Oryza sativa Japonica Group: one gene and its partner. The protein of the gene in region 1 interacts with the protein of each later gene in a pairwise test. Links are inferred from orthologs where the notes say so. Each region holds a gene or a part of one and is shown on either strand. Other genes may lie near its edges.

The links.
Region 2: the proteins of protein GIGANTEA (region 1) and E3 ubiquitin-protein ligase BRE1-like 1 interact in binary tests that used the Arabidopsis thaliana proteins (3 or more experiments, as listed by UniProt). The link is inferred for Oryza sativa Japonica Group from reciprocal best matches to the Arabidopsis thaliana genes GI and HUB1.

Annotation. Positions count from the first base shown.
Region 1 is NC_089035.1:4,340,502-4,347,576, forward strand, and holds part of protein GIGANTEA, read right to left. Parts: intron 6,856-7,075; 5' UTR 6,626-6,855; exon of another isoform or gene 6,549-6,625; 5' UTR 6,531-6,548; coding exon 6,444-6,530; intron 6,352-6,443; coding exon 6,274-6,351; intron 6,182-6,273; coding exon 6,127-6,181; intron 6,049-6,126; coding exon 5,906-6,048; intron 5,747-5,905; coding exon 5,472-5,746; intron 5,050-5,471; coding exon 4,991-5,049; intron 4,125-4,990; coding exon 3,884-4,124; intron 3,807-3,883; coding exon 3,656-3,806; intron 3,523-3,655; coding exon 3,313-3,522; intron 2,515-3,312; coding exon 1,018-2,514; intron 914-1,017; coding exon 845-913; intron 645-844; coding exon 426-644; intron 309-425; coding exon 216-308; intron 124-215; coding exon 1-123. UniProt on the Arabidopsis thaliana protein: Involved in regulation of circadian rhythm and photoperiodic flowering. May play a role in maintenance of circadian amplitude and period length. Is involved in phytochrome B signaling. Stabilizes ADO3 and the circadian photoreceptor ADO1/ZTL.
Region 2 is NC_089038.1:28,056,751-28,063,591, forward strand, and holds part of E3 ubiquitin-protein ligase BRE1-like 1, read right to left. Parts: intron 6,238-6,841; coding exon 6,076-6,237; intron 5,996-6,075; coding exon 5,908-5,995; intron 5,361-5,907; coding exon 5,136-5,360; intron 4,900-5,135; coding exon 4,732-4,899; intron 4,385-4,731; coding exon 4,191-4,384; intron 3,973-4,190; coding exon 3,889-3,972; intron 3,751-3,888; coding exon 3,631-3,750; intron 3,528-3,630; coding exon 3,341-3,527; intron 3,253-3,340; coding exon 3,092-3,252; intron 3,001-3,091; coding exon 2,929-3,000; intron 2,812-2,928; coding exon 2,735-2,811; intron 2,476-2,734; coding exon 2,281-2,475; intron 2,164-2,280; coding exon 2,091-2,163; intron 1,994-2,090; coding exon 1,907-1,993; intron 1,092-1,906; coding exon 954-1,091; intron 875-953; coding exon 672-874; intron 593-671; coding exon 427-592; intron 292-426; coding exon 160-291; 3' UTR 1-159. UniProt on the Arabidopsis thaliana protein: E3 ubiquitin-protein ligase that monoubiquitinates H2B to form H2BK143ub1. H2BK143ub1 gives a specific tag for epigenetic transcriptional activation and is also prerequisite for H3K4me and maybe H3K79me.

The sequences.
Region 1 (7,075 bases):
TTGGATGAGCTTACTGGAGTTTATTTGTCCGCTGTTCAAGATGTCGCGAAGGACGGACATGCTGAGTGCACGGACATGCGCGCTGGGGTGCGAAAGACAGCGGATGGTGGTTGATAGACGGCACTGCATATCAAGATTCAGTCAGGATGATGGATCATGGATGATGATGAGTAAGTTTGGCATGAACGTGAGTGAGATCAGAGAAGAGGACATGCCTTCAGCAGATTGGAGAGGCCATCAGCGACGGATACACCTGAATCTCCCCATTCGACGATGAGATGGACTGCTCTGGCGGTTACTTCCAATAGCTGCTCGTAATTGATCCCGAGATGAACCGGTCAGTAAGCGAGATGAACCATACAAAGTAGAACTGATTATTCTTCACTGGGATTTGCACCTAAGGACCTCATGAATGAAGGTGTTACCTCTAATTGTGGTAAAGTACAAGCTTCACCATCAACAAGCATTCCATCAGTTGCTCGAAGAAGAAGATCTGAAGCACTAGCAAGGATCACCAATGCTTCTGGGCTATCGTGGTTCCTCATAAGCTCTGCTATCAGCTTAACTATTCGCTGGTTGACTCTCCACATCTTCTGACCTTGCTCATCATCTCGAGCAATCCAGGGCTGCAAGTCCTTCTCGGCCTGTGAAAGATACAAGAGTCGGGGAAGATGACTGAGGAAATGGGTATATTTTATATCGGTAATGATGCTGATGCTTTGAAACCAAGAAATGAGAACAAAAGAAGCTACAGTATGGAACTTTTTTTTTCAAAGGTACATACAATATGAAGCTTTTAAATATGATAACAAGTATGTAAATATAACAATAACAATATCTTGACCTGCAGAACGATAGCAGCTGAAGCCTTGGTCGGTGAGGCTGAAACAATGTCACAAAGCGCATCCACAACCTACCCATGAAAAACAAAGATTATCATTGTGTATAAGAATGCTGACAACCAAGGACGGTCTTCATAGCATTATTCTGGTATCTTATAAGCAGGAATGACCATACCTTTCTCCAACCCTGATGAGCTGATGTACTTTCTGCAGACATCTGCATTTCGGGAGATGCAATGAGCTTCTGCCAGAGCAATGAGACAACAGAGAAGCATAGCTCCTGCTTCTCTGACAGTACAGATCTTAGGAGAGTTTGAGAACCTCTGTAACCCCCATTTCGGTCCATGGTGAGGAAGTTTGCCAAATCAGAAGCTTCCACCTGTAAACTTGCAATGGCTTTCCCAGAAGTACTTGCGACATCACCATTTAGTATAACATCTTCTGCACATTTCAAGAGTGGTCTTGCAAAACCATTTTTCCTGTGTGATCTTGAAGCATCCTTTTTTTCCAATGCACCACCATCTGATGAGTTAATGTTCTTTTCCTCAATGGGAGGTTCATCCTTTTTTACTGGTGTAAGGGTCAGGTGAGCTTCTAGAGGCTCAGCTTTGTTCACAATGGAGGTCACTGTTTTACCATGCAAGTCAATCAAATGGTAAAGGGATGATGCCCTGGTAGAAATCTCAGCATCCCACTTGCATTGCTTCAGCGCAGACAGTGCATTTAAGCATGGCCTGGATCGACGAAATAACTCAGAAACATGAGCAGCAACCATAGCTGCTGCAACAATCTCATTTGAACTATAACTCCATGAAGTACCAACAGATGATGGCTTCAAGGAGAACAGAGCTTCCAAGATGCCAAGTATTCTACGAGTATGAAGAATCGCTGAGCTAATGCTATTGTGTAGCTCGTTACTGATACCAGTGGTTTTTCCAGGTATGACTATCTTTATGGAGTCCTTCAGATTTGAATGGTTCCCATTCTTGGAAATAAAAGGGAACAGCTGGAGCTCACAAGATAAGGCACAAACGGCTGCTAGAACGTATGAGTCGAATGTAGCAACTGGTCCTTGTCTCTTCTTACATCTGTTTCTTCCATTGGTTAATCTCGAATCATTTGTGACCTCCTCAGAGGAATGATTATCACTACCAGTTGGCCTTTTACTTCCCCCAGGCAAAGCTTGATGACTGACGCAAACAGTTAATACTACAAATAGTAATCTGGACGCAAGGTCCATTGAAGCACAGGACTCCACAAAGAGTGAATGTATCATTGTTCGGAGTTCAGCAACAGCAAGGTTCTTAGATTGACTTCTTGGTTTCCTGGATTGTTCAGAGGTTTCTGATGGAAAAGTTCTTCTCAGTATAGCTTCAACTGTTGCCACAAAAATTCTCATAAGGCATGCTTCAGATGGACTCCCACGAGGTAAATACTCAAATACTTTCAACAATGGCAAGTATAGGCTCCATGACAAAGTAGGTGGCTGAAGTGGAGCAGCTACAACAATTTCAGGCAAATCAACTGCTGATGAACTCAGAGGTAGCAAACCATACGCAGCCTCCCAGATGGTACATATTCTCCACTCAACATCGGGACCATGAGCACATAGCATGGAAGCAATGCCTTGCGCAGTGGCATCAATAGTGGCTTCAGATGCAGGAACTTCCAGCTTTGTGCAGTTGAAGGAGCACATATGAAAATATAAGTCAATATGAAGCTAAAACATGTAGGGTGCATATATTTTACGACATAATCAAATTCCAACTTTGGTAGGTAGCAATATCTATATTAACTTGTTTGATGATACCTTTAAAACAGTTTTAACATAATATCCTAGCAGTCATAAAATATACAAGAATACATCATAGCTCCAAAAGAACTGATATAAACTTATCATAGCATGTTGACGACAAGCATACAGAGACTCCTAAAAGGTTACAAAAAAATGACCAAAAGATTTAATTTTCTATTCAAAACAATAGAGGCTAGACAAATCTAGCTTTGCAATATTGTAGCTAAACTACTTTAGTCATGATGATGTAATCTGGCAGCTAACAGTACTTAATGAAAAAAAAATTCAGAACAGAGTCTGGATAATGTAGCCGTTTAGTGACAAGCCTATTAGCATATATTTCGAGAAAACTGATAAAAAGGAAATTGAATACATCAAATACAGAATAGGTAGCAAGTAGGTGCAGGAAACACTGCATACCTGCCTTTTCTATTCAAAACAATAGAGGCTAGACAAATCTAGCTTTGCAATATTGTAGCTAAACTACTTTAGTCATGATGATGTAATCTGGCAGCTAACAGTACTTAATGAAAAAAAAATTCAGAACAGAGTCTGGATAATGTAGCCGTTTAGTGACAAGCCTATTAGCATATATTTCGAGAAAACTGATAAAAAGGAAATTGAATACATCAAATACAGAATAGGTAGCAAGTAGGTGCAGGAAACACTGCATACCTGCCTTTTGTACGATGATACATAGCCACCTAGTGGCTCATGATGGAGTTCAACTCCTTCGGCATGTCTCAGTGGAGGAAAAAGTAATGTCGGTTGGGAGAGTATTCGGAAAAGTAAAGCAGCAGACGTATCAGCAGCGATACCAGCTCTCATTGACATTGCAGTTCCAATAGCACGCAGGAAATGAAGATGCATCCAGTTCTTTGGAAGCTAAAACATAAAACAAAGCTATGACAATCAATAAAATATTCAAAACACATAATGTGCTGTTATGATAATATTGCATGATGTGTCATCTTGATTGATAGCACTGAAACAACAGCCAGAGAGATGTATGATATACCCGCATGCCAGAATCGTAATCTTCCGCTGCTCTAAGGAGTTCAACAAGCTGTACTGCTGCATCAAGTGCATCTGGGGCCCATGATGGTGGTGCCTCGAGAAGACCAAAAAGCAACCTTTGGGTAGCACTTGGAGTAGCAATTGCATAGTATCTGACGAAAAATAGCATGTTAGCAATCATTTGGAAAGTACACATGGTACAACAGTGGACAGGATCATAAGAGCTTACCTATGAAACAAGCGAGCATATGGTTCAAGAGGAGGGAGCCCCGCAACCAAATGTTCGTCCAATGGTGTGGTCGGTGGAGGTAATAGAAGTGCAGGAACAGCTGCCGCAGTCAAATTTGCTGTCTCATAACGAGCTACTTCCTCATCACAGACACTTAGTATAACTCCAGCTCCATTGGCAACAGCCCATCTGGGCGTGGATGGCATAAGTTGTGGGTGCTTCCCAGATCCTCGGCTGTAAGCTGAATGACCCAAGCACATGTTAGTAACTTGTGTTTATAATAAGCATTAGCATCCGAGTTGCAAGAAAAAGATAAAGGTCCCACTCCAATGCAGAAAAACATGCATAGTATGAGCTCATAAAGCCCATATGCACTATGTTTTTTAAGAAGCAAAAAAACTGAATGCAAGTTTCAAAGTAATTTACAAACTTCCATTAAAAAGTAATTTGCAAACATATCACACCTTTTTTAATAATATGTACTCTAGAATCTAGAAAAAATGTGCTCCCAGTAAAATAAACAATCAGGCTAACTTTAATTTGTAGGTTATGTCTTGTCGCCACAGGACATGTTCTACTTGTTTACTTTGATTTACAATATACATCATTTGCTTTGTCACCAAATGCTAGTAGTAAACAAATATAAAATGCTCACTTTCACAGCATATTGCCATTCACTCCTATTATAATCCATACTCACTCCTGTCAAAAATAAACTTTTGGTCTGATCAATCTCTCTATGGACATTAAGATCAACCATGCAAAAATGATGAGTATATTTGTCCCTGAATGTACATTCTTCACATTATAATTTTTCCATGCTTTATTAATATATTACAAAAGAAACTGCTATTCAAAGTTTTGTTTTGAAGAATGTGTTTATGCCTAAAGTATCACTTTTTTTTTATTTGAGGGAGTAAGTTATTGATACTCCAGTTTCCCTTTGGGGATCTTAAGAAGGGAACTGATCTACCAAAGAATGCAAAATATGCAATTGTAGACATTGTCACATGGTATCTCAACAGAATAAAAAGACATGGGAGTAATTAATGTTACAATAATTATAAAAAATTCACGATAGAAAATTCCATTGCTGATTTTACCAACCAGTTGTTGGAGGCTTCAATTCTCCACCAGCTGCGTATTTTCCCATGACTCCACCACACCTGATGCATTTGAAGACAAAACAGGGAATGGTAAGCGTCCATTAGCAATAGAAGAGTACTCAAGCAAATTTTTCATCATCAGCAGCAAATATATAGTATGTTCCAACATGCTTGACAAAAGCAAGTTTACACAATGCATGCAGTTCCATTAGCATACTTTTAAAAGTTGTCTATTTTTCTTGCCATACTTGCATTGGGGAATTATGAACATGCATGAAGTTTGAACTTGTTATGAGTTCCACCCCTTGCTCCTGCGTTCTGCTCACATACTTCTATTATTTTCCGTGTTTTAACTTTAAATTATATGCGCTCTTCCTTCTTGTCAATATCACCATAAAATTGAGGTTGTATTTCTCAAGAAAGGAGGATTTCAGATTTTCAGTCCACAGAACAATAATATGTTATCATTTATTATGACTCACCATCTAAAATAGTCACTTCTAATACCCAGAGGTGCAGCAAGCAATATGTCTGTGATCCAAGGAGATAGTGGCCTCAATGGCTTCCGGTCAGGTTCATTTCTTGGAGAACCGTTAGCCCTTTTCTCCATAGACTCACATGATGAGGCCTGATCAGATGTGCTGCTACATTCCGCTTCACTATGTTGGTGATCAACTTTGAAGATTGGCCTGTTGTAGTGAGTTAGAACTCTAAGAATTTCTCCACAGGCCAAGGCCCACTGCTCCGAGTACTCTTTCTGCATAAAAGTTGCATCTTTATGAGCAAGAGTAGTTTGATAAGCTATAAGCAGCACAGTTTAGATATAATATTGAAATGCACAGCAGAGGCAAAATCTTATCAAACACAGAGAAATGAACCAATAAATTGGAACTAACCATTAGAGTAGGGGCCTTACCTCAGAAGTATGGCTAAATAAAGAGATGAAGGACATGAACGGGAAACCATTTCTATCATAACTGAGTGTCCCATCTATGATGCGTGACAGAATCGGATGCACAACTGCATGGCCATGCTCAGGATGATGAAGAACAAAAGTTGCTGGAAATATGAGAAAAATATGTCAAACTCTTTCTTCAATTGTTTGTGGAACATGTATTGATCACTGGATCAAATTACCTAATACTTCATCTACAAGGCGCTTTTCTTTTGATGGATAGCAACTTTGAATTAGCTGCAAGCATGCAAGAAAAAGAATGCAAAAGTTAACACACTGGAGAAAGATTTTATCACAGAAGATACTAAACATGCTTAGAGATACAGTACCTGAGCTATATCTTCAGGGAATTGCTCACTGTCAGCTGTAAACTGGCCAAAGTACTCAACATAGGCCAGAATTTGTGCCTTCAGAGAGGAGACGCAACCAAGTTTCCCATTGAGGCAAGTATGTTCAACATATAGAATTTCTAACAAGAATCAAATAGGAATAATGTTACCTGTTTTTGTTGTGAATCCTGTGGTGGGGGCCAGAACAGTGATGAGAACTGGAGCCCATCAATCCACTTCTCATTTGAAGCTGACATACTTGGTAGCTCAAGAGCCTGCCCAAGAAACTGAGAGAATTCTCAAAGAGAAAGAAAGAAACTACACAAACTGCTCCAGTTAGCAATAAAAGCACCTGTAATCAACACCACGTTGAAGCCGCCAGTTAGTTCATCCATTTATGCCACCAAAGTCCAAATCTTCTTATAAGCTACTTGCCTTGGTATCAAGAAACTTCGAGCAAGAAAGTTATAAGAGTGCTATCCACTTCATTCAATCAACCCCCATAACGGGGGTCTGCATCTCACAACGTGACACGTTATCATATCAACCAATGCCAACCATATGAGCTTCAGAGTCTCTACACTGTAATATATCGCACAACAAAAACCAAAAAAGGAGGAAAATACATGAATTTTAATTAATGCAAAAAAAAATTTACTCCCTCCGTTTCATATTATAAGCCGTTTGACTTTTTTCTTACTGAAATTTCTTCCAAGTTTGACTAAGTTTATAGAAAAATATAGAAGTATTTTCAACACAAAAAAAACATATTATCAAAATATATTCAATGTTAGATTTGATG
Region 2 (6,841 bases), on another chromosome or scaffold:
AACCAAATTAGGCTACTACATTCTGCTTATATGTTTGGTTGTACAAGCTAGTACTTGTCATATCTTCAACTCGCATGGTCATCTAACCATATGACCAAGTAATGACCATCAAAGTAGCTTGATCTAGATGCCTGCGATACCATCTTGAAATTAACAACCTCATATGTAGATAGGTTTCACGTCATTAGCCCCAAAACTCAAGCTACATGAAGGACATCTCCTCTGTCGGTTCCCAAGGGACTTCTGTATGCACTGATTGCAGAAGAGATGGTAGCACTTGGTAATCACAACCTGCAATTGGAATATATTAGATCTGAATATCCAATGTTGATTGCTCACTGTTAAAGTGTCTTTTGACAGGTTATATTGTTAAAAGGACAGGTTATATTGTCAAGAGTGTCAAAGAACGAAATCAAGATCATTTACCTCCTTCTGCCTATCATGGCAGATACCACACTTCAATATCCCCCTATACTCCTTGACCTCATGACGAAGCTTTTCCAGGACTGCTGATTCACGTGCCTTGGCTCTAAGAGAGCTAGCTTTCCTTGACATAACCTCCAAATCATCCTCTATTCTCTTCTTACTAAACCTGGAATGTAACTCATCTCGTTAGATCAGCTATTGGAAAAAATTAGCCCATAGAAATGTAAAATATTCTTATAGAGCACCTCTCTTTCTCAAGTTCTATAAGCAGATCAGCGACTTCCAAACGACTGCTTCCAACATTCGCTTGTATTCCATCCAATGATTGCATAAGCTTTTGAGCATCTCTGTGCACATCAACCAGCTTTCTTTGGTAATTACTCAATGAAACAGATTGTTGCCATCCATCCTCTTGAAGTTTCCCAACCCGATCAGACCACATTTTAAGCTGGGAATCAGGGGAAAATAATATTCAGCACCTCCTGGAAGGATTGTATTGGATTATACAATATTTGCGTTCAACCTACCTGATCTTCTAAGGAAACAATTTTCTGGTTGTACAGATCCATCAAAGAGCTTTCCTGCTGCAAGTTTCTGCGCAAAGAATATGTTTCCAAATGCAAAGCATCTTGTGTCTGTTTTGCTTTAACACCCTCCATAAAAATCTGCAGTGTAGATTTCACCAAACAAAAATGTTACGACTACTGAAAAAATAGTTTACTACCAGATTGATTCATCCTAAAGCTTCCATTCCTCAATGGGATTGAAATACCAAATGCAGAGTTAGCACATTTCTTATTCAATACATCCGAAGTAAACAAGCTTTACTATCAGTAAAATTTCAATAAAACATCAAACTAAAATTTTGGATCAAAACATACACAATCACTGGAACTGTAGATTTATCAGGAGTTCAGGACCCTTGGATAGGCTGCCTGGATTATCAAGGGCACTCCAAAGAGTAAGGAGCTATGGTACAAATAGCACGGCTAAAAATTTTCAATTTATCTCTACTATTAAAAGGCGCAGTCGTCCTGATTTTCTCTGGTTCTTTGACCTTGAAACAACACCATTTACCCAAAAAAAAAACTGTTGATGGTCATTTAGAAAAATGTTCTAACTTTCTTTTCAAAAAGATATCTAAATAAAGGGCAGGCAATACTCATCCAGGAATCCACAAGGATTTTTTTTTGGCAACCAGTAGTTGCTGTCCACAAGGGTTTGGAACTTTGGCCTATTTTATGAAATTCCGCATCACCAACTTAACGCAAGTAAACAGCTTTTCAATGAAGTACTGAGTCTCCGGAACAATCAAATTAACAATATAACCAAATCTAACATCCTATGAATATATCAGAAACATGAAAGCTATTTGTGCAACCAGATTTGGTACAGTGGTAAATGGGAACTCTTATAAAACTATAAGCTTGGGAGAGGATTATCTGAGATAATAGCTTTAAAGAAATCATTGAGTCACTACCTTGGTATTATCATCATCTCTTTCAATAATCTGCTGTAGCAATTGTTGGTTTTGTGCCTGTATGTCCTCATATGCTTGCCCGATACACTGGAATAGGTTAGTAAAAGTTTCAAACTCAGGATGACAATGTTTAATATATGTTTAAAGCCATACTTGAACTGCATGCATAAAAGATGGCACACACCTCGACCTCCACTCTGTAAGCTTCACATTCTTCCTGTTTAGACTTCAGCATATGGGATAAACTGACTAGATCCCTGAACACAGTGAACATTCAGCAGTAAGCATCAATTTCCTTTAGTAACCCTAAAAGAGAAGTGACCCCTACTTCAACAGTTCTAAGAGAAACAATGTTCAGAAGCATAATTCTGTACTTTCTAGAAGTCCCAAGCTTCTGCCCTGATTCAGCAATCTCAGCTTCTGCAGTTGCTAGCCTCTGCTGTGTGATTGCTTCAGCTTCATTGGCAGCCTTAACACGCTGCTCTAGCTTACTTTCATCAAGAGATGATTTCAGGGCATGAACATGAGCCCATTCAAGGAATTCCCTATCTCTGGATTCCATTATTTCCCTGCCACACACACAAAAAAAGGTTATTTCCATCACAAAATAAATAAACTTAAGTTACTGGTGATGAGTGATGAAATGTCATGGCCATAGTAGAGTGACCGTGCAATGAATTAAATACATGATAGGTAAACAATTAAACACGGCATTACACTGCACTCTGTCCTAAGAAGTGAGATGCATCTATCTCTACAAAATATCACAAGTCTTAGCCAAAAAAAAAAGTTGTGTTGAGAATTATATATGATATAAAATTGAAATACCTGGAATCAGTGGATTCACGCTTATACATATCCGCGAACAACTTAAGCTCCTTATTAGTTTGCTTCAGATCAGAAATCTACAGGGTTTTGGTTTCAATATGTCAAATTATCATGGGAGGACAAATTCCTGCAATAGCTAAACAAAACACCTTAATGAAGAGAAAAAATAAGCTGAGTCTAAACAAACAAGATACCACTGATTGAAGTTGTGTTATATCAGATCCCGCACGGGCAGATCTGCATGATGCTTCTTCATTATCACGTTCCTATAAAACAAAATAAACAGCCTGACACATTGGCGAATCAATGCCATAACACTTGCGAGTCATATGTGCAAGCCAATAACAAGCAATTTACCTTTCTGGACAGAATGCGAGAAAGTGAATGGACTTCTGCTCGCAAAGAATTCAACTCCAAGGAAGCCTCCTTGTGTTTGGTCATTTCACTCTGCATCGCGCCCATTTCCCTTGGTATCGATGACACTAAAGCTTTAAATTTTGTAATAACTTGATTCCGACCTGACAAGTGCAAACAATTCCTTATTACCTGCTTTAGCAAGACAAGTTTGAAAGTTACTCTTGGTAAAGTGAATAGTAACTACCGCACCAGGTTCTCTTGAAGCCTCTTCAAGTTTGAGAATAAGCATGTTTTTTTCATCACATAGTTTCTGAATATCCTTCTTGAGATCAGCAATGCTAGACTCACAATATGTAGAAACCCTCTCAGGAATCTCAGCCAGATCAACTTTCAAATTAAATTGCCTTTCTTGCCACACAAACTTATCCTTATCAACCTGAAACATATCAAATAGGAATTCAACAAAAGATCAAATGCTCTAGCGAGACATTTTTGCTATACAACTCTGGAATCCAACAAATCCACTGACCAGTAACCACCTGTAATTTCTCTAATAATGTCTGGTAGTGATCCAATTCTGCTTGTGACTTCTGAAGTCGATCATTAACAAGCTGAAAAGCTTTTGAAGAACGAATGCTCTTGAAATCCATCAAGATATTCTGGAGGAGATTAAAAACACACACACAAAGTTAGTCATACAGGTTCTGATACTAAAAAATTCTCCCATGCAATAAATATTAAGCATGGGCCTTCAAGGCTAAGCAAGGATGCATTCTGTGCTTGACCAATCAACAAACCTGAAAAGTTGCTATTTTGTTCAAAATTTCAATTCTCTCTTCATGTAATCTCTTAATTTCCACCAACCGCTTTGAAATCAATTCCTGGTTGATAATTGGGTCAGATCATACATATCACAGGTACTCCCTCCGTTTCACAATGTAAGTCATTCTAGCATTTCCCACATTCATATTGATGTTAATGAATCTAGATATCTAGATTCATTAACATCAATATGAATGTGGGAAATGCTAGAATGACTTACATTGTGAAACGGAGGAAGTAGTAATTTGGAACTTTAAAAATGAACGATGGCAGTTACCGATAATTCCTTGTGAGTAGCTTCAAGATCCTGCATCTCTCTTTGTTTATCTCTGACCTTATCTTCAGGCATATTTTTGTTTCCTAATGTAGGATATGGGATTCGAGCTCCTTGTGTATTATCTCTTTGAGCTTTAAGTGCTGCCAGTTTGTAGTTAGTTTCTTCCAACTCAGAAGCAGCACTGGCCAACTCCTCTTGACAAAGTAAACCAAAACATCTGGTTAGTTTTACCCAATGTATTAGGACAACGTATCTAGGTAAAAAAATGTATAGGGAAAATATGGTACAAGTCTGAAGCGCTGGCGCAGTAAATATAAGAGTACTGCAACAGTACAGCCTATTATCGCAAGAATGCTCTCCAGAAGATTGCTGGTTAATGCGTAGGGAGGATAGATAGGAGTTGATGGCAACATGTTTGATAATTCAAGATGTATAGCAGGTCTCAAATGTTGCGAAACATGTTCCTTTAAATGGCATGGATGCTTATTTGAAAGTTAAAACAACTGTAAAGAAACATCAGCACAATCTCTAAACAAGATACCTTTTAGACGTCTATGTTCAGCTCTTTTTCGGGCACTGGAATCTCTTTGATTTTGATAATCCTCTGCTAACTGCTTGTGCTTCAACTGAAGATTACTTAATGCTTGTACGACATTATTGAGGCTGGACAACAGGTTGCTACTAGTACTCTGTAGTTGCTTACTGCGGTCTACAGAACATGGATGAAATTAGTACTTCTTTTGTATTAGTACAACTGAAAGCTATACTCTCTCCGTCCAACAAAAAACGAATCTAGACTGGATGTGACACATTCTAGTACAACAAATCTAGACAGAGATATGTCCAAATTCGTTGTACTAGGATATGTCACATCCAAAACTAGGTTGGTTTTTTATGGGTCGAAGGGAGTACTAGTTAACAGAATATATGAACTAGAAGACGAACCATTTTCTGGTAATTTAGTGAGAGCAGCCAAAGCACACTCCTCATTTGCTTGCAAAAGATCACTTGATGGAAAAAAGATATCCCCAAGAGCATTAGCTGTGGATAGATGTAATGGAGGGGCATCACTTCCCAAGTGGCAACCAGGCAAACAACCTGAACTTTCAGTTGCACCAGATTCCACAAGACTTCTAAGAGTGTCCCTCTCTATGGGTGCACAAGTACCATCTGAAAAGAGAAGGTTTATAGTTAACCTGATAGGCAACTATGGAAAAGAATAGGAGCGGCCATCGTTAAAATGCATATCAAGCTCATTAACATAAATAACTTATAACTTATTACATAATCTGAAAAGTGCAGTTTTTGCAACCAAGCAGCATTATCTTAAACAATTGCCACAAGAGCAATGGACCACAAAGATGACCAGATCAAAAGGTTTTTCCATAGTGATAATCATTTGCTACTTAAATACTCCCTCCGTCCCATAATATAAGGGATTTTGACATTTTGCTTGCACTGTTTGACCACTCATCTTATTCAAAAAAATTTGTGCAAATATAAAAAACGAAAAGTTGTGCTTAAAGTACTTTGGATAATAAGTCACAAAAAAACTAATTCCAAAAATGTTTGAATAAGACGAATGGTCAAACAGTGCAAGCAAAATGTCAAAATCCCTTATATGAGGAGACAGAGGGAGTAGATGGCACTCCCATATTTCAAAACCTGTCTAGGAAAATGTAGTTGGGATGTTTTTAGAAAATAAAGGAAGTCATACCCTTTTGTACATTGTTGTGCCCTGAACCAGGGCTGGAATTAGGAGATCCACTTTTGCAAAAAGATCTTGACTTCAGGTCTGCCACAAGCTGATCAAATAAAGGGATTCAGGAAGAAACATTATAAAGTCTGTCTTTTTTGGTAAAACATGCACAAAATAATAGCTTACTTGTTCCCAAGAACTGTTGACCAAGGAAAGTGTCTCATTATGAGTCCTCTGCTTCTCTTTTAGCCCAGCGAATTTATTTTCAAGAGCACGATACTCAAACTTGTGGGCTTCTAGTTGCTCTGAGAGCTTTTGGTTTTTGTATTTGAGTACAGTAAAATCGAGCTGCCAAACAAGACAATATAAGTAGGCAGTGTGCGAAATCAAAACTAAAGATATGTGTTTGGCAACAAAGAGAAATCACTAATTCAAGCATAAAAAGAAAAGCTGAACCAACATTCAAGTATCTTTTATTTACAACTTGAAGAAGAGCAGAGCCAAAACAGAACATAAACACAAAAGGAGCCGTACTGATGATATCACCAACATGATAAATAGGTTCATTTCATGCTACAGGACAAAAGAAAAAAAAGGTTTTGTGCATGGATATTCCATATTGGACCAAATACGGTAACACATGAGTAAACGCATAAAAGGTATCATCCAACATGCCATTATACCCTTGACCTATCCCTCCCAAAATTTAACCAATCTTTTCCCATATTTCCCTCTTGTAAAATTAAATAACAAAGTAGGCGAATAATTGCCAGTTGTCACCGGTAGTAACAGCGATTAATTGTCAGTTGTCACCAGTAGTAACTTGGTGACAAATTTCATTAATATTAATTTAACGACCCAATTTAGACCTTTATCTATATCAAAAAACAATAGCATATGCTATGGAAAAATAAAAGGCGCTATGATTGTAAATAAGCATTGGCACATTATG